Linked DNA regions of Arabidopsis thaliana. The protein of the gene in region 2 interacts with the protein of the main gene of each other region in a pairwise test. Each region holds a gene or a part of one and is shown on either strand. Other genes may lie near its edges.

The links.
Region 1: the proteins of RIN1 (region 2) and FES1 interact in a two-hybrid assay, tested with the Arabidopsis thaliana proteins (one study listed by BioGRID).
Region 3: the proteins of RIN1 (region 2) and FRI interact in a two-hybrid assay, tested with the Arabidopsis thaliana proteins (one study listed by BioGRID).

Annotation. Positions count from the first base shown.
Region 1 is NC_003071.7:14,308,368-14,316,330, forward strand, and holds FES1 (Zinc finger C-x8-C-x5-C-x3-H type family protein), read right to left. Parts: upstream 6,348-7,963; 5' UTR 6,200-6,347; coding exon 6,076-6,199; intron 5,736-6,075; coding exon 5,642-5,735; intron 5,558-5,641; coding exon 5,334-5,557; intron 5,196-5,333; coding exon 3,904-5,195; intron 3,808-3,903; coding exon 3,778-3,807; 3' UTR 3,345-3,777; downstream 1-3,344. Other genes in the region: AT2G33830 (Dormancy/auxin associated family protein), read right to left, coding at 1,401-1,437, 1,524-1,722, 1,829-1,919; AT2G33840 (Tyrosyl-tRNA synthetase, class Ib, bacterial/mitochondrial), read left to right, coding at 6,644-6,744, 6,934-7,087, 7,173-7,456, 7,549-7,645, 7,895-7,963. UniProt on the Arabidopsis thaliana protein: Transcriptional activator involved in the FRIGIDA-mediated vernalization pathway, but not in the autonomous flowering pathway. Acts cooperatively with FRI (FRIGIDA) or FRL1 (FRIGIDA-LIKE 1) to promote FLC (FLOWERING LOCUS C) expression.
Region 2 is NC_003076.8:7,388,999-7,397,334, forward strand, and holds RIN1 (P-loop containing nucleoside triphosphate hydrolases superfamily protein), read right to left. Parts: upstream 5,283-8,336; 5' UTR 5,074-5,282; coding exon 4,984-5,073; intron 4,411-4,983; coding exon 4,222-4,410; intron 4,102-4,221; coding exon 3,970-4,101; intron 3,879-3,969; coding exon 3,729-3,878; intron 3,523-3,728; coding exon 3,367-3,522; intron 3,210-3,366; coding exon 3,075-3,209; intron 2,990-3,074; coding exon 2,924-2,989; intron 2,828-2,923; coding exon 2,721-2,827; intron 2,630-2,720; coding exon 2,530-2,629; intron 2,452-2,529; coding exon 2,360-2,451; intron 2,278-2,359; coding exon 2,208-2,277; intron 2,118-2,207; coding exon 2,028-2,117; 3' UTR 1,798-2,027; downstream 1-1,797. Other genes in the region: AT5G22320 (Leucine-rich repeat (LRR) family protein), read right to left, coding at 95-181, 286-381, 455-519, 612-668, 750-831, 979-1,071, 1,178-1,249, 1,330-1,428; AT5G22340 (NF-kappa-B inhibitor-like protein), read left to right, coding at 5,511-5,661, 5,748-5,920, 6,221-6,340, 6,445-6,501, 6,667-6,747, 6,835-6,869, 6,989-7,078, 7,175-7,334 and 1 more. UniProt on the Arabidopsis thaliana protein: Proposed core component of the chromatin remodeling INO80 complex which is involved in transcriptional regulation, DNA replication and probably DNA repair.
Region 3 is NC_003075.7:266,156-273,809, reverse strand, and holds FRI (FRIGIDA-like protein), read right to left. Parts: upstream 4,910-7,654; 5' UTR 4,785-4,909; coding exon 3,846-4,784; intron 3,453-3,845; coding exon 3,447-3,452; 3' UTR 3,280-3,446; intron 3,191-3,279; 3' UTR 2,324-3,190; downstream 1-2,323. Other genes in the region: AT4G00651 (Fe superoxide dismutase), read left to right, coding at 1,931-1,980, 2,086-2,323; KEA2 (K+ efflux antiporter 2), read left to right, coding at 6,021-7,531, 7,627-7,654.

The DNA.
Region 1 (7,963 bases), on a different chromosome or scaffold from region 2:
GAATAATTCAGAGTGAAAGTTAAATATTTATATGGGTGTTACAAAATTTTACTTTTTTTTAGATAAAGAATTGGTTGCTACATATATATGATAGATTCTATATTGTGTAGTGTGAACTAATTAGAATGATAGTTTCGGTCTAATCGTGACAAAATTATGATAGTTTAGGTAGATTGTTTCATAAAATTTGTTTACAATTGATTAACGAATGGCATGTGAAATGGTCAATGCTTTTTTGTGGTATATGTGTTAATATTATCATCTCGTTTTAAGGTTTTGAATAGAAGATGGCAGTGAATCCAAAGTGACTTATAAAGGAGCTAATCTCATTGCACAAAGTATAACTAATGACTTTTACGGCTCCATTTGTATGTAGCTCTTGGTTGCAAGGTGTGTAACGTGTGTTTAATGGTGAAAGATCTCTTTCTTCTCTATGAACTTGTGTGTTTTTGTGTAGGTGGAGACACTTCTTTTGTATATTCCCCTTGTATTGAAAATGTGCTTTGAATAGGTTGATCCCGCAGGACTCAGGTTTGGGTTGGTTCTTTTTGTGTAACCTTGTATTCTATCTTCTTCTTTAATCAAATCAGATGACAAAAAATTAAATATATATTACATTTGTATCCAGACATGTATAAACTTTAATTAAATCACTATCATAATGGTTTGTTGACACAAAGAATTCACCTAACCATGGTTATGTTTTTGTTATTTAATGAGATGAGATCAACCATGGTGATTAAAATAGGTTGATCCCTGAGCTTTGGATTGGTTCTTTTTGTGTAACTTTGTATAATTATATCAAATCAGACAAAAAAATATATATAAAAAATTACAACTGTATCCAAAGACATGTATAAACTTTAATTAAATCACTATCATAATGGTTTGTTGACACAAAGAATGCATTTAACCATTGTTATGTTTTTGTTATTTAATGAGATGAGATCAACCATAGTTCAGTTAAAATTTAATCAAATCACTATCATAATTGTTTGTTGACACAACGAATTCATCTAACCATGCATGATTGAGATATTTTAATGATGAACAAATAAAATAAAATAAAAATAATGATATGAGATCAACCATGGTTAAGTTAAATTCCATTTTGCTAATTATAGTTAAGTTAAGTTATATTGTTAGCTAAATCATTAGAGAAGCTAATTGTAATATTACCGAACAGTAAAAATATTACAAGACACTGAAGACGCATCGCCACCGTTAAAAGCTAAAAACTAACCCAGATGGTGGAAATCAACGGTCACTAACAAACACAAACGACATGAAGCAAATAAAAGATTGCACATATAGCCAAAATAGACGAAACAGAACATAAACACGTGGCGTAAAGAACATAATTATTTTACATCATTCTCATGTCACTCTACCCTCTCGGCTCAACGGTGCTTGCTCCTAGTGTCGTCGCTGTATAGCCTGCGGGATCACAACAACGGTCAAACCATCTTAGATCTGATCTACACCGTCCGGTCAGATAATAATAACAGAAACTGAGTACGTACCAATCGTAGACGGTGGGAGAGTTTGGGTGAGAAGGCTTGTCGAAGAGGTTTGTGCCCATTCCTCTAGTGGCGATGTTACTTCCTGGATGAAACACACTTCTCCACACGTTTTCCTTACGCGCCGATCCTGGCGTCGTCGGAGTTCCAGGACTCCCGGCCACCGCCGCCACAGTTTTACTACTGCTCCCTTCTCCTACACCTTCCAAAAACCATCACATGATATAATTATGAGATCATACGTTTCTACAAAGATCTGTATATGCAAGTTTATTACGGAGTTATGGTTGACAAAGAAAAATAAATACCTTTGATGTCAAGGGGTTGGGTGGTGATCTTATTGCGGAGGCGGCCAAGGCCATGCTCCGGTTTAGGTCCGGCTACAGTTTCATCCCACATATTTCTTTCTTTTTTTGGGTTGATTTTGGATAGAATTGTGTCAAGTGTGAAGTACTTACTAAAGGGCTTCCTTCATCTAATTTATAGACTCATTTTTAAACTATTCGTAAAAATATCTCTTTTCCTTTGTCGACTAGTTCTCTCATTTTTTATTTGACCCACAAAATATCTAGAGAAATACTATAATAGACTAGAAATAATTGACAAGTAATTGATAACTTAATTACCAAATGAAGTTTATATACTTGCACATAGAATTTTCGTTAAAATTTGATACGTTTAGCCAAAATGTTATTATTCTCTGTCAATAAACAACATGAATACATAATATAATTGTAAATTGTGTGTTATGTATTAATATGTCATTTTACAACATTTTAATATAACATGCAACTTCCAGGGTTTAGAGCTAAAATACACGCCATCTTTGGAAATTAGGATGTGGATAAGCCTACTTTAAAGGACCTTAATATATAACATTAATGTTATAATATAGATCAAACCATTGATCATGAGAAGCGTGAGCAGTGAGGGAGAAGTGTGGAAATAAAAAAAATGCAAGGTGGGTATAGAGCTGGAGATATGGATAAGGACGACGAGTCATAAAGTGTAGGGACCCTTAAATCAAAAGAATCCCAAGTCTTTCGTGGAAAAGTATTATAGGAACAACAAACATATTTTGATTATTTTGTGAAGTTAATATTATTAAGCAACAGTAACTCTAATCAAATAGTTTTCCACAAACCCACCATAGATAATAAGTTCATGATGTCCTAATGATCATAGTCCAAATGATTCACTAAAATGTTTGAAAAAGATAAAACTAATTCCAAAACTGTACACAAAACGTATGCACTTTATCCTAAACCAAAAACCACTTTCTACTTACAGTAAAACTTCTATAAATTAATAATGTTAGGACCGAAAAATTATATTAATTTATAGAGGTTTTAATTTATCGATTAATTAATTAATTTATAGAGATATTTTTCTAATTTATTAACTTTTAAAAAAAATTTAAGATTTTTTCATTATAGAAAATATTTTTTAAGAATCAATTACAAGTAAAAAGTAATATCATATTTAGAAAACAACACCAAAATTTTTTGATACAATAAAATATTAGAACTCAATATCAAATAAGAATAAATACAAATTTAAGCAAAAAAAAATATTAGAAATATATTTTAAAGAAATTTCTTACATATAATGTATATATAGTTGATACATTTCTGCAATTATTAATTTGTGATATTAATGAGACCATATATTTACATAGGATTTTCAAAAAAATTATTATCTTATTAATTTATCGATTTATGTCATTTTTTCCATTAGTCTCACCTCGGGATTGGAAGAAATTATTAATTTATAGAGGTTATTAATTTACCGAGTATTAATTTACAGAGGTTTTACTTATATTGATGGAGAAATACAAAACTAAAACTAACTTCTAATTTGAAAAATCTTGGTTTCACAAAGCTAAATTACTTATCAAATAGTTAGGAAACGTACCTCAACATTATTCCATTTCTTTCTCTTTTCCTCTGCTTCCAAGGCAACCATTCTTTATCACATTACTTCTAAAGATCACATTCTAAATCATATTCCCAAAGGTAAAAGAAAACTGTTTTAAGCATAAATTAAGCTTTGAAGAGTTTTACAATGTGTACACATTTCCTCCACCAAGCTCCCATTCCAACCTTATTCCATTATCGGTAAAGGATAGGAATGGAGTTCCAAAGAATTTAGGTGCTACGTACTAAATCTATAACTGAGTAAAAGAAGGATGACATAATGTACAGGAATCTCATCAGTTTGAGCTCATGCCACACCAAGTGACATTTGGTTTGATAACTCAGGGTTTACCATACTTTTCGACATACCCCTGCAAATGAACATAAGAATTGTTAGCTTATGCAATACTTACTACTTAGGTTTTTACCTGCTTTAAGTGTCTTTTATTTCCAGCTAAGAAACTCACCTCGACAAGTTTCACAATTCTGGTTCCAGACAAACCAAGATATTGATCAACTGATTCTGTGTCAGTTGGCACCTGATGAAACTGGACAGCGGCGCCGACTACCTTTTCTGCAGCTTTTTTAACTATCATGTTATGCACGTCTTTAGTTAGACGACCCTCACGCCACAACGGTTTCAACATTTCTTTAATGGTTTCCACAACTGCAGTCCGGAATAGTCTCATTACTTTCATTCCTGCATCTGACCTCACTTCACCATCTATCTCATCTGATTTCTTTGTCTTTTTATATGAAGACCCATCACTTCTATGCCAAGAATCATGCCCTGCAGGTTTGATTCTTTTCAAAACAACTCTATTCTCTGCAGCCGTAGCCGAAGAAATCTCTTTGCTAGGCGTTGCTGTATCATTTTGATCAACCACTGACGTAGCCACCCCTTCCACTACTCCATGTGCTTCCAAACTCCTTGCCACGGTTTCTTGGTGTTGATTTTGACTGCATGAACTGCTTTTATCATCATTCTTGCAATCCCGTGCTTGGGGACCACTAGCAGAATCACCATCTTTCTGCTGGCAGGAACTTTTCCGTGCATGTTCTCCTTTACTTGACAATGAATCATTAAGAGGTCTGTCTCCTAGATTCTCTATATCCGTGAAAGGATCGTAGAGGGCATCAGACGAGGGAAGAATATAAGGTGGAATTGTAAAAGATGCTTTAAAAGGTTCAGAAGGTTCCCAGTCATCTGAAGAAACTTTCTTTTTAGTGCTAGTAGTGTTGGCTTCTGCGCCTTTATCAGAAGAAACAGCTACCCCTTGCAGCGTTGGAAGTGATCCGGATCCAGATAAACTATTCCCATTTTCAAAATCCCCCACCGTAGAAGCACGATCATTCATAGGAACAGAACTGGATAATGATCCTGTCCAGGCTGGTCCAGCAGATCCCATGTCTGTTTTTAAATAGGAACTGATAGAAGGTCTATGCTCATGAACAAAGCTGCTTCTCAATGCGAAGGAATTGGCGTTATTAATAACTAGAGACCTGTTGTCAGTGAAATCAGCACCATACGTTTGCTTCAAACTCTCTCTTCTAATGTTTTCAAATGAAGGCATAAAGCGCATCTCGTTATTGAACGGGAAAACTCTCTGAGAACCTGGGGGATTCACAAAAGACATGGAGGAGAAAACTCTCTGAGGATTCATGAAAGATATATCCTCTCTGGTAGGCAACGATGTCACACCGTTTTCGCTTAACTGGGAAACTCTTACACCTTCTCTGCTGTCCAAAATTCTTCTTTCTGAATAGACATAAGCAAAATAAATTATTGGTTGATTCAGAAAGAGTAATTAAACCCCATAGATATTCACCGGCCTCTATATTGTTGGAACTACCTCCACATAGAATCACAAGAATAAGTATTCATGGTACAACGTACCTAGATCAGACCGGATACCACCGTTTCCAGCCATACTATTTTCCGCCAGTTGTTGACTAGTGCAATTTGAATTCTCTTTCACATGTAGAAACTTGCAGGACACCCCATTGAAACACCACCCTTTAGCAAAAAATTTGCAGGGAAGAGCTGCACGTTTTTGTTCTGGTTCATTCCCACCACCGCCAGTGAAAAAGCTTCTTGGCGGTATACCCGGAGCAGGAAATCTGATAACCGAATTTGTCAGTATAAAAGCTTCAACCTCTTAACTTAGTTTCAGCAAAACTTAAGCAGAAACTTTTTTGCCATACCTTGGTAAAGTACCATTATCTTGAGCAAAAGCTTGCTCCTTTATGATTTTTGATTGCTCATCTAAAGGTGTTGTTACAGAATGCCTCTTCACATCTACATGAGACAAGTTTAATCAGTACATATTAGCAAAACTGCTGTTTTGAATAAACAAAAGAGATTCCTTACAGAAACAAGCACAAAACTCTGAGAATTGAATTTGCTTACTTGGTATTAAAGCCACAATTTTTACAAAAGAGCTTCAGTGAAAATCTAATTGCCAAGTCTTTGAACCTCTAATCAGAGCTAAATCTAGTCAATTTAACAATTCTCTCTTTCTTCTAGAACAAAATTCATCAATTCCAAATTGGAAAAGGTGTTTCCATCAATAAAAACACGAACTTGACAGAATTAATCAACAATACCATGTAACCAATCACGAATTTCAAATACTAACCGTTGTGGGAATTGGAAGCTTGAATTGGTGGTTTATCAAACAATTCAGATTCTCTTACAATTGTATGTACTTGCACCTTTTGTTCGACCTCATCATCATCAATGTCCATGTCGGAATCAGACATCTTGAAGTCTTCGGCGAGGTAACCAACGCAGAGAGTGGTAAATTGATAAAAAAAAATACTGCGGCGTGATCGGGGTCCGAAGCTCGCTGTTGAGTCCTGATGATCTCCGAGAATACGTTTGGTATATCGAAACCACCATTGTTACAAAGACCACCGAACTATTTTATATCTAATGGGCCTTTCCTAAATAATTAAAGCTTTAGTATTAAGGCCCATACTAAATTCCAAATTTTACCAACTATTTCCTAAATTAACACATCGTTGCCTTTTTATAGTAACCGGATTAAACCAAAACAAAATTAAAGAGAATCGAATCAAACCGTGAAAATCGTGAAGCGTAGTGGTGCTATATTGCACGTTAACTGTCTCCATCACTGCCACTGGTAAACCCTAAGAATCCTCCGCAATTTCGCAATTTTGTGAAGGAGCCGCCGGCTAAATTTGATGGCAGACCAAAGTTCGGAGATCGTCAATGCTCTGTCGTCGGAGATGGAAGCTGTTTCCGTTTCATCAACTCAGGCATCTTCTTCGTCCGATGGATTCCAGTGAGTTTTCTTACCAATCATCAATTTTTTTCATTTTCGCGCTTCAATTTTGATTTGGATTATATTATTTGATTAGAGTGGAAGAGATGAAAAAGCTATAGCAATTTAGAAGTATGGAATTTAAAATTGAAAAGATCTTGTTATCTGCTTATTGGTCTGGTAGATATTGAAATTTTACTAATTCTTCAGGATGAGTGAAGAAGTTGAGAAGAGATACAAAATTGTTAGGAGTATCGGTGAGGAATGTATACAAGAGGAAGAGCTAAAGAATCTTCTTGCTAAGAAGGCTGCTCCGATTTGCTACGACGGCTTTGAACCATCAGGAAGAATGCACATTGCTCAGGTCTGTTAGTTTTCCTTTGTTCCATTACCATATGTGGGAAGGAAGCGTTGGCTAATCTATTTTGGTTCTGTTGTTTTCTTAATAGGGAGTGATGAAAGTCATCAATGTGAACAAAATGACTTCAGCTGGTTGCAGAGTGAAGATTTGGATTGCTGATTGGTTTGCTCAGTTGAACAACAAAATGGGTGGTGACTTGAAGAAAATCAGAGTGGTTGGAGAATACTTTCAAGAGATATGGAAGGCTGCTGGGATGGATAATGACAAAGTAGAGTTTTTGTGGTCGTCCGAAGAAATTAATTCTAAGGCAGATAAGTATTGGCCTCTTGTGATGGACATTGCTCGCAAAAACAAGCTCCCTAGAATCTTAAGGTTACTTTTCTAAATCTTCTCCATTCTTGGGACGTTGTAATTATGTGAGGGAAATGATGGGACCTGAATGACTCTGGTTCTTGTCCTTGAAGGTGTGTGCAGATTATGGGACGTAGTGAGACTGATGAACTGAGTGCTGCCCAGATCCTTTACCCATGCATGCAATGTGCAGATATTTTTTTCCTTGAGGTACTGTTAAGCCTTTGCTTGCTTATGAACTGTCTTTGATTCTGCTGCTAGTTACTCGGAATAAAAAATTTAGCTTAAGCGTTACATCAGCAGAAAGTCTATTATATTGTTGATAAAACACCTGATAAAAGCTCCAGGCTAGAAATAAGCTGTATATGATTGCAGATTTTATCAATGTAATGTTACATTTTGTGTATCTGGCTGATGAGTTCTGTGACTACTGTTAAACCATTTTCGTTACATATGTAGGCTGATATTTGCCAGCTTGGGATGGATCAAAGAAAAGTAAATGTGCTAGCGAGAGAATACTGTGATGAC
Region 2 (8,336 bases):
AATTTGATGGTTTATTACACGATCACCACAAAAACTTGCCACAAGCTAGGGAAGGCTAACAAATTTGCTTTCACCTATATGAATTAGACTATACCTCTAAACCAGAGAGTTGCGTAATCACATTGTTTCCCACATCCAAATTGAGTAGTCTTTTGTTGACTGCTAGTTCTGCTGGGAGAGCCTGAACAGTTAAGCGTAAATGAAATAACGATTAGCAATATAAACAAAAGATTGTGAGAAGAGGCAGGTTTGTTCTGTAGATTGCATAAATGTAAGAAAGATCACCTTGATTTCATTGTTCGCGAGCCGCAGCTCTTTCAAATCAGAGCATGACTTGAGAGAAGAGCCAATAGCTTTTATTCTGCAGTCAGACAAAGAAATCTGAAACCGAGATGGGATTAGACAAGGATCAGTTTAGTTGTGATTCCGAAACGGGAGGAAAACAAGAGCTTACTTTGGAGAGGTTTTTCAACTTTGAAAGTGAGTCACCTATTTCACTGATTGGGTTCCTAGAAAGAACTGCATGAATGAATCCATACACATTTAAGTAGAATGAAATTAGGTGTAACATCTAAACAGTAACATGTTGATTTTGATGTAAAAGAACATACCGAGACTGTTCAAGTCTTTGAGTAAATCAAGCTTGCAAATGGAGGAGATTTCATTGTCTACAACAAGTGAAACAATAACGAGTAAGTAATCAAACAGTAGCTTGTGGATGCAAAGACATAAAACCGTTGACAACTTACCATTCAAGATCAAGGCCCGTAAATTGACAAGAGAAGAGATCTCATTCATGGATTTGAGCTTATTCTTTCCAGCATTAAGCACCTGATAGAAAACAACATCACACAGTCAAATAAAGCACACATATTAACTCGTTTTCTGTCAAAACAAAGCTTAATCCTGGAGAACCTCACTATTGGTAAGTGATACAAATCTCAAAGAAACAAGCTCAGTGATATCAGTGGAACTAACCGTAAGCTTAGTGAGTGCTTCAATTCCATTTAAGCTTTGCAATTTGTTTTCCACAACTGAAAGCCATTTCAAGTTCACACAAGACTTGAGTCCCTAAAAACCAATTAACACATCAACATATAATAAGCTCTAGCAACTTAAAAATCAAAACTTTGGATGCTATTTATGCTTATAAAATGAGATTTATGTATCAATCAACCTGAAGATCTGTTAGATTGTTGAAACGAAGATCAAGCTTTTCCAAGTTTTTGAACTTGCTCAAACAAGACACCTAAATATACAATTAAACAATTAGGGTTTCGTATCAATTTCTACTTGGGAACAGAGTTTCAGAACAGAAACAATACTCACGTCGGTGAGAGCTTTATGGCCGAGATTAAGTTCCTTGACGGAATCTGGGTCATTGGTCTTCTTCTCTTTCAATACTTGTTCAACGGTTAACGAATTCATCGCCGTCTTCGTCTTCTTCCTTGTCACACAAAACCCTAGTCTTTTGGTTTCACCTTATTCAAAAGATTGTCTCTGTTCCCAACCGTGATAAGTCTTTACCCAAAAACCCCACAGTTTTCTATTGTTTATACATTTGACCTTGTTATTATTGTACGGATCAGGGACACCCTCTTATGGTACTCCTCCCACTTTGATCCTCAAGTTTTATAATCTCCGACTCTGCTGACTCTGTTCTGATAATAGAGTTTTTTTTCTTTCTTTTTGGCGCAACATCAACTTTTAACAGTAACCAAATAGACAATTACACAATGTTATGTTCCACAAACAGTTTGATCTTGAATAAGTGTATTGTAATGTAACAAGGGAACTCAATATGAAACCAAAAGTTTGAATCTCACGACCATGTATGTGTATACACGTGAAACCATATTTCAGTTTTCATTAGTTAGCACCACAAACAAAAAAATAGCACATAAATAAATGAATTCAGAGAAACCAAATTGTAATCCCATTAGACATTCTCCATATTCCGACATTACAAAATAAAACGACAGAAAAATTATGAGATGTTTCAACAAAATGTGCGATTAGTGTTCTTCTCATGAGATGTATTTTTCTTGTTGCTCATGCAAAAGCTTTGCTGAAGATTTAGCATCCAAGTAGAGTGATGTTACTTCCTCTATATCAGCCTGTCAAAATTTAAGATGAAGGATTAATAACATAACATCCACATATTTTACATTTGTTTTATTGTTCTAAGATTTCACAAGTAAATCTACCTTGCAAATATTGTCACGGCCATTCATTTTCGCTACAATGCTGGCAGGAGACAGAAGCTGCACAGCGTGCCTGAGAGTGAAAGCACAAAAAAGGTTTTAGTATTTAGATTCACGAACAGAAATTTTGCTTAGAAAAGCAATGATGACAGTACCTTAGTGAAGTTCTTTGCCCAATCTCCCCAAGTAGAACCAAGCATTCTTCATCCACGGTTAATTCTTCAACTTGCGCACGAATGGCTATAATCTGTGAACAAAATGATAAATCTATTAGAATGTTGTTCGTAGTAATTGAAATCCAAAAGCTAAATGACAATTGAGTAACCTGGATCATTTCAGAGGGATCATAGATTTGAGTCCGGATGATAACCAATCGATCTAATAGATCAATAGGGACTCCATGGGGGCTGGGCATATCAGTCCCTCTGCAAATAAAGTAAATCACAGTACCAAGTTAACAAAAACTCACAAGATTTCCAAAGGAAAATGTCTATCAAGGTCTAGCGCTCTTCTCACCTTACGTTGCAAACACCTCTATTTGTTGCAAATATCACTATCGGAGATAATGAGCTCTCAAGAGCACGGTTCAAGTATGAGAAGCACTCCATATCAAGCATATGAACCTGAGGTTTTATAATTAAACAAAGGTATTCTTACTGCTCCTGAGTCCTGAGCAAGATCAATAGTGGAATGAAAAAAAACTTTATTTGGGAAAATACCTCATCAATAAATAGAACTCCTGGAACAAGCTCTGCCACACCTTCATCTATATATCGGTTCACAACCTACAATGGCATATAAAAATATTAGACCTTGCAAAAGAGAAAGTAAGATGCTTAAAAAAATCACCCATGTACTAGCGAAAATCACCTTGTTAATTTCTTGCCGAAGCTTATCAGTGATCTCAGTCTTCCGCGGTTTCATCATTTGGCCCATCAAAGAAAGTATATCCTGGCCACCTTGAGGTCGAGCATTTGCTGCATCCAGATCTTGGAGTGTGACATCCTATCAGTCAAAAGTATATGGTCTAGTTGAGTAACAAGTAGTCTTAATAAACTTAGGAACTAAGGTTAATACACATACAAACTAATACATAACAGATAATAAATCAACAAAGAAAATAATTACTCTACACAGAAGGGAGAGGTCAAAGAAGGTAAACCTGCACTATCTCTTTCTTTTTGTGGACCTCTCCTTTGGGAAGTGGAACATATTCTTCTGCTTCCAGATCAAATTCAGTGGCAAAAGCATCACTTCTACCTACCCGTTTGACAGCTCCACTGTTTGCTTCGATATAGATTACATCTCCTACAGCTACCTGAGAGGCAAACAGCAAAAATATAAAAAGAAACCAATCAGAATGACAAAGTAATCAGCAAATTCATACACAATTGTCCCCACAGAATGACATCGTTAGAAAACCAAAAAGGTGAAAAGAAAAGCAGGTTTTGGAACAAACTGAAAAGCAAAAACTTAGGGGAAAATACCACATCCAAAGCATAGCATCGCATGCCAAGAACTGACCTTTTCCTTAATCAAGGCATCATAGATAGTGGGATCCAATTTCAGATGTTTGGTTCCTTTGACTGTCTTGAGTGTAATTACAACATGGCTGATGCTTTTACCATAACCTCCAGTGAGGCTTTCAGTTTCTTCTGGTGACAGCTCGGTGACCTAGAACACAAGGACAACATGTCAAAAACCAATTAGCGAGACATGCTATTGCATAAGAACACAGCAAAAGAAACCGCAAATAGCAACACACCTCCCCTTCATAGACTTCTTTGGTTTCCTTGATACGTAGACCAATGGCACGTCTAAAATTCTCCATGAGAACCTCTGTTTTCTTAACCTCTGATGAGTAAACCTCAGATCCAACCATTGGACAGAATGGAACCTGCAAGAAAGAAACAATCCAGATAAAATAAGCTAAAAGTAAAAGAAAAAAGCTTCATACAATGAAGCCATGTGGAAACAATGTAACAAAGAAGATACAAAATGAGACATCCAAAATTACCTTGCTTCCCAGCTCTTGAGAGATTCCAAGAGCCAAAGCTGTTTTCCCAGTTCCAGGAGGTCCAGCAAGCAAAAGAGCCTTGCCCGCCATTTTCTTCTGCTTAATCATGTCAACTACAAGACCAGCTGCCTCTCTAGCCTCAAGTTGACCAACAAATCCAGCTGCCAATTTTATAGGGATACCAGTTGGCTAGAAAAAGAGACGCAACATTAGCAACAGAAATGATGTACTGGTTATAGAACGAGATCACACAGATGCTTGAGAAACTACAGTCAGTAAAAGAAGCAAAGATAGTTAATTAAAATCAAAGTGCCGTGCCAAAGTGGAAGAGCAAAGGTCTTCAAACATCGGTCAAGTACTATATATTTCATAAAATACATGTATTAAAATTGAATATTTGCAAATCAAAACTAGAGTATAATTGTGCTAGAGCCGAAAAAAGAGTCTCGGAGAATACCAAACGAAGCAATGAGCTTGAAACCCCTAAAAATCATTAAACTTTAAACACAAAACCTTAAAGAACTTTGAGCAATACGAGAATACTGCAATGCATCTTATCCCCAGAAAAGTCGAAACTTTACAAATGAAAACTAGGGTTTGTTTGTGCTAGAACAGAGAAAAGAAACTCTAAGCGTAGTACCAAACGAAGCAAATAGCTTTAAAACCCTAAAAAAGCTTAGAACATAAAACCTTAACTAAACCCTAAACTCGAGCAAACTACTGGAATCCACTAGAGTCAAAGAGAGAGAGGAGAAGGAGCACCTCGAGGCCAAGGCCTTTGATATGGGTGTGAGTAGCAATCCGTTGTTTCTTAGCGGTGGACTGAATTTCTTCAATCTTTACTTTCTCCATCTCCGTCAACTACAATTACTTTGATCTGCTTTAGGTCTTTTGTTGTATTCTCCGACGACGAAAACGACGGCGGAAAGTTTTGAGCTTTATTGAGTTTGCAACGCCTCCCTCTGACTCCAAATTGCCAAAACCTCTTCCTAACAAAGTTTATATGTTAAACATGTTGTTGCAACAATGGGCCTTTATATTATCCTTTATTTACAAAATCACCCCACACTTCCTAAACTCAGAAATAGAAAGAAAACGAAAACAATTAGAGAAAAGGGCGAAACAAAAAGACAGGACTCAATAGTCATAAATGTAAATTAAGGGGTGAAATTATAATATATGAATAATAAAAGGGTCTTCTTTTTGGAAACTTTCTTTCTCTTCATCAACAATAGTGATAAGCTTCTTCTTCTGGAAAAAAACCAGAGGCCGTCTCACTCTCTCGCTACATGGAGAGTCTCTCGATTCCCGCCGCTTCTTGGTTTTCCGGCGGAACCATTCCTCCGACGAAGGTGAGAGTTTCTCCGCCGCATCATCTCCGGCGACCTCCCAACAGGAATTCCCATCGCTTGGCCGCCATTAATGCCGCTTCTCGCTCTGGTGACAATCTCTCTCTCTACATTGAACCTTACTACTCAAATGTTCGCTCTTTGTGGAAAATTTCATGTCTTTTGCTTTGTTTTTAGTGAGTGAGCTAGTGGAGGAGGATGTGTTGCAAATGTTCATGAAAGACAGAGAAGAAAATGGAGATTTCATATCTAAAGTTTCTGATAGGCTCTGGTTAAAGGAGATTCTCGAATCTATTGATGTTAATTCCAATGGAGCTTCTTCTTCAGCTGTTGAACTAGATGATACTCGGGTTAAGTTTCTTTCACTTGTTCATTAGTAACTGTAGCTAGTTTTTTTTCTTCAGTTCTAAGTTTGCTTTTGACGATTAAAATTGCTAACTTTGTATCGAGGAATAGTTTGATAGTTATATGATCCTGTTGCAATTGTTATGTGAGTGACTACATTTTTATGAAATCCAGTATTGGTTTGTGAATTTCTGAAATCTCACAAATTTATAGCTTTCATGGCAACAATCTTATACTTGGTACTGTTACTTTGGTTGGTAACTTGGTATAGCTCCTTTATTAATGTCTTTATGTTGTATATGCAGGAAAGCTTGATAGATGGCGCTGATGATGATGAAAGTGGTTTCTTGAAACTTAAACCGACACAAGAATGGATTGGTTGGGAGAGTGATTCTGCCCCCATGAATAAGAAAGCTCTAGCTAAGGTTGGTCATCTATTTATGAATGTTCTTGTTCTCTGTATTCATTCATTCACACGTCCTTCTCATTGCAAAACTCTGCTGCGTTTGTCCTACTTCCTTGATTGCAGGCACTACGAGATGACAGCGAGAGAAGGAAGAAGTTTAACTTTCTGAAATATGAAGCTGTATGATTATTCCTTTCAGTATGTTTTCTTAATTAGTCTGCCAGTCAGATCTTTATGATTCAACAAAACACTCTATTATGCAAAATGGCTGTTCAGTATGTACCAGTAGTCAATTTGTGTAGAATGAACTTTGAAATTGCTGCGTTTGTGTCTTTATTTTTGTAGCTGAAGCGTGAACTCATGTACCTGTCGATTGTAATTGGAACTGGATGCAGCGGATACTGTTTACTAGCTTTATCAGTTCAGGTAAGCTCTGTCAAAGCTCTAACCAGTTTATACTATGGCTTCTCTATACGAAAATGTGTCTGAAAGAAATATTCTGACATATGACAGGCTGCAGTCAGTTATGCAGTTGGGGTTCTATTCAGGTTAGTTGTCTATTTTAATTGGTTTGTACATAAATAGACCTTGACGTTGTAAGATATAGTTCTGCAACATGCTTGATCGAGCACTCGCGTATTCCTAACCAAATCTGATCATAGTGCAGTTGCTTGTACCTTCAGCTTTTGTATGGATACGCTGATGGTCTATCACGTGAAGCTGTTCCTGATATCTTCCTGAAAAAAAAGTCTAAAAAGTAAAGACCTTGACAACTTTTTAGTCTGGTCACGTTTTCTTCTCACTTCCCATACTCACATTGCTCTGAACTTGCTTTTGTATTGTCCCAATTCAGAATCGGGATCAGAAGTGAAGACCTTGAGGACTTTGTAGTGAGGACAATCAGGGGCAGTGGCATGGCTCTCTCTTCTCCACGCTTGGTGATACCAGCTGCAATTTATGGTTTGTGGATACTCTCTCACAAGTATTTCCAGAACGACTTGTTCGACTTTCAGGTAAGCTATTCCACGTTGCGAGGTTTTAGCTATGTTTATCCGTGATACCTCAAAGTTATCACATGTTCTTAGACAAGTTTGAACCTTTATATTCTCCACAACGATTGTGCTTTGCAGATAGTTCCAGCAATGGTTGGTTTGTTTGTATACAAAGCTGCAACTCTCGTTCAAGTGTACAGAGACAACCAAGATCTTCAGTTCATCTTCCCAGATGACTACTAACTGCAAAGTTCACAAGCGGCCTTCCGAGATAGACCAGGAAACCACAGAATTGTGAATTGTTCGGTACATATTTTGAGAGAGGAACAGGAACAGAAGCTAGACTCATCCGCTAAGACCGAGGATATAGTGAGTTATAGATCAAAACGGCGTTTTTCGGCTTTTTTTCAAAAGCAAAGCAACCTCTTCTATTTTTTAAAACATTCTGGGTTACTTTTCTAACGAAAACAATAATACAATGTTTATATGCATGACTTGAATGAGTTTACAATAAACTATATTGGATTTTGCTTCTTTCTTTAATATTTTATCAAAAGTAAGATCAGAGGCAGCAGAGGCAGCTTCGAGAGTACGAGAAATTTGGTTGTTTATGGATCTACAATAAAGGATCGTAGCTTGTAGCTTGTTAAAAAGCCTAGTTCCTGTTCCTCTCTACAAGCTAGAGATCCTTTACAAGTAGAACCATAAACAACCAAGAAAAAGATCAGAGACATTCTATCGACTCTTCTCTTTGCCTTCTTATGGAGATGATGTTGTGGTGTCTCCTGCTTACAGCATCTCCTAGTTCCTCCCCATTCATCAAATCATGCATATAAACATTGTGGTAAAAACCCTAGTTCCTTATTGTTTTCGTTAGAAAGTAGTAACCCAAAGTGTTTTTAAAACATGGTCAAAACTTATTTTACTCTTAGTAACTAAATGTCTTCTTCTGTTCTCTCCTCTTTATGCAAATTATACAGTTCCCTGATATTCATTTTACTCCTACATCTCTCAAAATGTTTA
Region 3 (7,654 bases), on a different chromosome or scaffold from region 2:
CAAATATGATTCTTCAAACACTACCAAAATTATATGTTGAGTATTCAATATGCGACCGAGATTATGGAATTTCAAACTTTCACAATTAATAGGTTTCTACTTTCACACAAATTAGGCCTAGTTTATTTCATCAGTTAACATTTACATCCAAATTTTTTATAGCGACTACATATCTACCAATATGTTATGATTATTGAAATAATTTGAATAATAAAGAGAAAATAATTTGACCAAAAGTAAGCATAAATTAAGCAAAAAATAAGTAAAATACGTCTATATAATAGAAAAGTTCACTTTCGATCTACGATGTCTACATCAACATCCAAGTCATCATATTGTGGCCTGCCTAAATTTTATTTATTGAAATCAAAACATTACAGCTAAAATTAATTCACACATTAAATAAAACAATAATTGACAAAATTAAATTAAATATTATAAAAAATTAAAAAATAAATACACAACATAAACTATGAAATTTTTTATATCAGTGTTAAGAAAATTAAAATAGATTGAACAAAAAAAATAAAGTGAACAAAAAACTATCATAAACATCACAAATAAAAATAAAAATTCTATGAATACGTAGGCTTTTTACAGTCTCTCGACCGACACGTCGACATTCACAGAATGGTGAAGATGTTTCTAGTAAGACCGTGGGGTGATTTATCAACGGTGGTGATTATGGAATCTTAAATGGATGTTTTGATAGATCCAGTGGGATGGACTCCATGAAATAGCAGCACTAGTGGGGATTTGTCCACATTGTTCTACCGCGAATATCAAAACAAAGGCCCCAGAGCAAACGCAAGCCAGAGAGTCCATCCGAATGGGAACAAGATCATCACAGACCCGATGGAAGCAGTCATGTTTACGGTTAGAGAGTTCATAAATAGAGATTCGTGGCTCAACGCCACCGGAGTTCCATACAACGAGGGTTAATGATTAAAGAGAAATTGTAAAAAATGTTCTTCCAAAATTATCATTTTTTAATTATAACCTTTCCTGTTAGTCATTTTCATTTATACGTTAATTTAATTTTTAATGACTATTTTACTCATATTTTGAAAATATTTTAGGTTAACAAAATAGAATATCGATTTTTTTCGCCAAAAATATTCCGAAAATAATTTTTCTGTCAATTTTTTTTTTCCAAAAACATTTTTCCCGTTTTTGTTTTGGCGATAAATAGATTTGTAAATGGTTTTAAAAGTAAGGAAATGTGATAGATTACAATGATTTTTAAATGTAAATTGGTGGGAATTGTTTTGATGGGAAAAATAAAAAATTTGTAAGGAAATTGTTTTTTGGCATTGGTAGAAAATAGAGATTGAGACCTAAGTCGAGCAAGTTCCACAATTATTGGGCTTAGATCAATCGCCGTAGAGTTAATACTATACGAAAAAGACCAAAATTGGTCTCTTGGTAATGGGCTTTATTCTCAAGTATGTATATGTATGTTTCTCGTAAACGACATCGTTATAGTAGAATTAGGGCTTAATAACGATGTCGTTTCAAATCTTTCCAAAAGGACCAAAATTAGCCCTCTTGTTTCCAATTCCGGGACTGGAAAGACCGCTCAAACAATTCCAATCACAACGCCGACTAGAAACAGAAGCCTCCGGCGAACTTCTCCCTCCTCAAAAAATCTCTCTCTCTCTCTGATATGCTATCTCTTATTATCTTTCGATTGTCCCACTTGGTATCTTATTAGTGGTCTTGTGCCAATGTGTGATTTGAATAGAGCCATTTTAACGAACTCCTGAACTTATGATTCTCTTGTCTTTAGTGTTCTTGTCTCTCTGTAGATAGTTAAAGCTGTGTCCTTTTTTTCTTCCATAAATCTCAGTGCTGTATAACTACATTGTAATGAACCCTACCCGTTCATACATTTGTTTAAGAAGTCCAGCTATGTCACTTACCACATTCCATGGAATCAATGCTTCTATTCATGTTTAAAATCCAGTTTAAAGCCTGCAAGTGTGAGTGTATCTAGTGTTCATTGATATTCCTCAAGATCAAAGACTGCTAAATCAAAGATGTCAAAAAGCTCTGTTTCTGTTTCGGATTTGATTGATTGTCAAGCTCAAGTTGGATCTTCGGTGAATTCATCTTCCTCAAGAAAGATAAGAAGGCGGACATAAATACATTCATGGAAAAGCTTGTGTCATGGGAAACTGTAAGCACAAGGTTGGAATCCGCAATTGCTCGAGCAGTGCAACGAGAACAAGAAGGAACAGAGACAGAAGATGAAGAGAATCCAGATGACCAAGAGCCAGAGGTCTATTTAGATAGTGATATCGATGTATCTGAGGTTGACTAAAACCTCTGAAGCAATAACATTAGCATCTTAAATGTCAATTACAGGAGCAAAAAAATTTGCATTCTTAAGCCCCAAACATTAAATTAAATTTTGAGACTGTTGGGAGTTAAATAAATGACTAACTTAAGCAAAAACAAAAAGCTTTGTTACAAATTTACATTCCTCCTATTTGGGGTCTAATGATGAGTTACTGCGAGGAGACCTTTGATTGGATAAACCCAAATATCTTTCTTCAGATGGTGAATGTCTGTAAACCCTTTGTATACCATATGGTAACTGTTGTTGTCCATGAATTGGAGGAGAGTACTGTAGTGGATGTCTCTGTCCGTGAACCAAAGACGGAGAGTACTGTCGATGAAGTCTATGTCCGTGACCTGGAGAATATGAATTTGGGGCCAGATGTTCATATGCATATACACTTCTTCCTAACCCACCATGTGGAAGTGGAACCATATATTCCGGGGATCTTCTTGAGCGATGAGGAAAAGATGTTGACGGGCCGAGGTAACTACTCACAAGAGCTGATATTTCATCTTGGTCATCGTCTCTTTGACTAGGAAAGCTTCTATCACGGTAGATAGGAGAATACGATGAAGAAGTTACTGGTGGCATTTCCATGGGTGATAACCTTGGACGTTTTATCTGTTGGTTATACATTCTCTTGGCAAGTGCGGCTTCCTCCATTAAACTGAGAGATCTTGCTTTCTCTTCCATCTCTTTGTCGAGCTGAAGAGTGTCTTTCTCCAAGCTAACAATTTGCTCTTTGATCTGCCATCCTGGTAGTTCTTTCGCAGGATCTAACTTGTGAGTCTCCATACACTGCATAACTGATGATAACACAGCTAGCTGCTTTGTAGCCGCTTCTTTCTGTTGAGAAATAAATATATCAATGGTCAGACTCAGATGATGATAAAGAGTTCATAAAGGTACATAATGTGCAAGGGAAGGGTTCATACAAATGCCAGCGGTGACTGGGCTTTCCGTTTTGCCCTCTCAAATGACTCCTTGCTCATCTTTAAGAATGAAGTTAGAACTAGAGCAGCTGAAAACTTATCCTCCATGCCAAAGGTATAAACCATTTCAAGAGCTTCAATATGCATTCCACGCTTGATACTTGATTCAACTATACCTATGACCAATAGAATATTGTGTAAGTACCACTTCTTAGAGTTGGCATTGCTTAAGCTTAATTAGTATCCAACAGCTAAGTCATATGATTTTAACTTCCAATATTGGAAACCACAAGAAACACTATTTCAAGGCAATAGCCTATCATTTGGTTCTGACAAGCAACAATTTCGTACCAAAACCTATGGTTGAGAGTTCCAAGTTCTTTCCAGATTAATTTCTAGCTAGGATTTGGCTCAATCAGTCATTGCACTCTAAATATTTGATGTGCTCTCCTAGTTTATACCATCAAGCTTATCGAAAAACAAAGATGGAACTTGATGTTGGTCGATGATGTCAACAAAAGGAACCACCTTTGCAATGAAATTCACCGAGTGAGAACAGAATATGGTACCTGAAACTGTGACCGCTTCAAAGCACCGGCAATCTCATTCGAACCACTCATCCTTATCAAATCCAGCAAATCTGTACTCCTAAAGTTTGAAGGAACACCAAAACAAGCAACTAGTAAAAGCAAACCCCTTGCATCCATTTTCTCAGCCGCAGCTAATCCTCCTTCAGTCATCAACCTTTTCCTCCAAGCAACAGCAGCCGTCTCCGCCTCATCTTTAATCCAACTCTCAATCTTCACCTTCCCTTTACCACGATCAGGCATTAGAAGAAAAGACTCCAGTATAAGAAGCGAAACTTGTCTCGCAGAGCTCATAGGCGACTCTTTAGTAAATGCTCTACGCCCTTGTAAGTAAAACTTGCCAATACAATCCAATACAAACTTCGCTGGCTCCTTGGCCAATTTCAAAGCTGAAGGAATCTCTTCCATTAACTTAGCTTGATCAGAGATATTCGCGTATATGTATTTACGCAGACCTTTGCTACACATCAACTCACATATACGTTCCCCCTCCGGTTTATTCGACGTCTCCGGTACAATCTCCTGAGACGGTTGGCTCACAGTGACGGTGGTTTCTACAGATACATTGTTCCGCGGAGGCGATAACATCGGCTGATGGAAATTATTGTTCCGCGCGGCGAGGACAACGCCGTTACTCTCGAGTTTGGAATCAATTGCGTTTTCGATTGACTCGATGTGCTTCTGAAGATCATCGAATTGGCGTTTGAATGTTTCCACTGCAACTGAAAACGCAGCTAATTCGTCTATGGATTTCAAAAATTGAGGCTGCTTAGATTGACCGATCGTAATGTCCATACTTGTAGACTCTGTTTCGACAATCTTCGGTAATTCTCTTCGTCGCTGTTCAGATTGATGTCGCTGCAGCAGTGGATTCGCCGTCGTTGTGGGTTGCGCCGCCACCGTCGGTGGATAATTGGACATGAGATTGCGGCGAAGAAAAAAGATTGCAGAAGCCCTAATTTCCACTCTCCTTAAATCGGTCAAATTACCAAATTTTATTGAACTGTATATTGTGAAGTTCACATAAATTATATATTAATTAGGAAGTAACCTATCTTTTAATTAGGAGAAAACGACTTTTTCCTTTGAGGTAATCGTTATATGTTTAGGGCTTTTATAGTTTTGCTTATGAAAATATGTATTTGTGTTTAATAATTTAATAAAAGTCAGATATATATACACTCTTTTGAGTCTATGCCAAATAATTGAATCTACGCACTTTTCTCTTTATTCTTTGTATTTGATTAATGAAAACATAGTTAGGTTGCATGATTACGACATGTAATATATTGTTTTAAATAGTCACTAAAGCAGTGGTTTATAACATGTCTAATCACAAATAACGGTTCTTGCTCGGTAATATGAACCCAAAAGTTACTGTCTTACTCTACCTGCACTAATGGGGGTGATGGTGTGCTCTTTTTAGTCTTCAAACACGATAATCCCATGATAAAATCCTTGTGTACTTGGTTTAAGTTGTGACTTGTGAGTACTTTTAGTTTTAGGTGGGAAAGAAATGAAAACATTGTGGGCTGACGGTACTAGGTAAGCCCAATAAGGAAAACGACTCTACGCAATCAGAGAAGGTCGCCAAGCGTACGGTCGCTCCCTCATCAACGAACAACGTCGCTCGCTTTTTTATTAATAATAGTTCACAAATATTAAAACACATTTGGAAAATGACTTGGTCACGCGCACCCAAAGGCAGTGCAAAACTAAACGAGCCACCTATCAGTAAAACGTAGCCGTTGATTCGAACCACGTGTATATTGCACGCACCACATGCGAGTACGAGTAAGAGAGTTGGTGGTATATTCACGGCATATTATATGTGCACGAATTGAATCTCTCTAAGCACGAGAGGGCATTTTCGTAACTTTCTTATAAAAAAATCCTACCACGAGTGATTGGGCAAAAAAAAACTGAAAGAGGAAAGAGAGAGTTGGACGGAAAATCTGAAGACCGCCGAGAAAAATACTGTTGAAACGGAACTCTCTTACGTTTTTTCTCAGGAGATACGTTTCATCTTCCTCTCAGTAACTACTCGATTCTCACTCACTCTCGCCGCCATTGATTCTTCATCAGCTGAAGCCTTGAAGCTCTCTTCTCTTATGATCGGTCAGTCTCTTGTTCTCTCCGTCTTTCTGCAGCAGTAATATGGATTTTGCGTCTAGCGTTCAGCGCCAGAGTATGTTTCACGGTGGTGCGGATTTTGCGAGTTACTGCTTGCCGAATCGAATGATAAGTGCGAAACTCTGTCCCAAAGGACTCGGCGGCACTAGATTTTGGGATCCGATGATTGATTCTAAAGTTCGCTCAGCTATTAGATCGAAACGAAATGTATCGTATCGTTCTTCTTTGACTTTGAATGCTGATTTCAATGGAAGATTTTACGGTCATTTGCTTCCTGCAAAACCCCAAAATGTTCCGCTGGGGTTTAGGTTACTTTGTCAAAGTAGCGATTCTGTAGGAGATTTGGTTGGGAATGACCGGAATTTGGAATTTGCTGAAGGTAGTGATGACAGGGAGGTTACGTTTTCTAAGGAAGAGAAAGACACAAGAGAGCAAGATTCTGCACCTAGTTTGGAGGAACTCAGGGATCTACTGAATAAGGCAACTAAAGAATTGGAAGTGGCTAGTCTCAACAGTACCATGTTTGAAGAAAAGGCTCAGAGGATTTCAGAGGTAGCGATAGCACTTAAGGATGAAGCAGCCAGTGCGTGGAACGATGTAAACCAAACACTTAATGTGGTTCAAGAGGCTGTTGATGAAGAGTCCGTTGCTAAAGAAGCTGTTCAGAAGGCTACTATGGCATTATCTCTGGCTGAAGCAAGGCTGCAGGTTGCACTTGAATCACTAGAAGCAGAAGGGTACAATACTTCTGAAGAGAGTGAGGTTAGAGATGGTGTTAAAGATAAAGAGGAAGCCCTTTTATCTGCTAAGGCTGACATAAAAGAATGCCAAGAAAATTTAGCAAGCTGTGAGGAACAACTCAGGCGTTTGCAAGTTAAGAAGGACGAGCTGCAGAAGGAAGTAGATAGATTGAATGAGGCTGCCGAGAGAGCGCAGATCAGCGCATTGAAAGCCGAGGAGGATGTTGCAAATATCATGGTTTTGGCCGAACAAGCTGTGGCATTTGAGCTTGAGGCTACTCAACGTGTGAATGATGCAGAGATTGCTTTGCAAAGAGCAGAGAAGACTCTTTTTGGTTCCCAAACCCAAGAAACAACCCAGGGAAAGGTATTGGATGGAAAGAATACTATTGTTGGTGAGGATGAAGTCTTGAGTGAAATTGTTGATGTAAGCCATCAGGCTGAAAGAGACTTAGTAGTAGTTGGAGTTTCATCAGATGTTGGGACTCAGTCTTACGAGTCAGATAATGAGAACGGAAAGCCAACTGCAGATTTTGCTAAAGAGGCTGAAGGAGAAGCAGAGAAGTCAAAGAATGTTGTTCTGACAAAAAAACAGGAAGTGCAGAAAGATCTGCCAAGGGAGAGTTCATCTCATAATGGTACCAAGACATCATTGAAGAAATCCTCTCGTTTCTTTCCTGCATCTTTCTTCTCTTCCAATGGGGATGGAACCGCAACAGTTTTTGAGAGTTTAGTTGAATCTGCGAAACAGCAGTGGCCTAAGCTAATTCTTGGATTTACACTTCTTGGGGCAGGGTTAGTTGGATACTCAATTGTTTTGACGAATTATGATAAACCATAAACTTTTTTGTCTGTTTTTTTTTAATAGCAAGTTTTCTGATTCATTCTAGAGTGGCAATCTATTCCAACGGAGTAGGA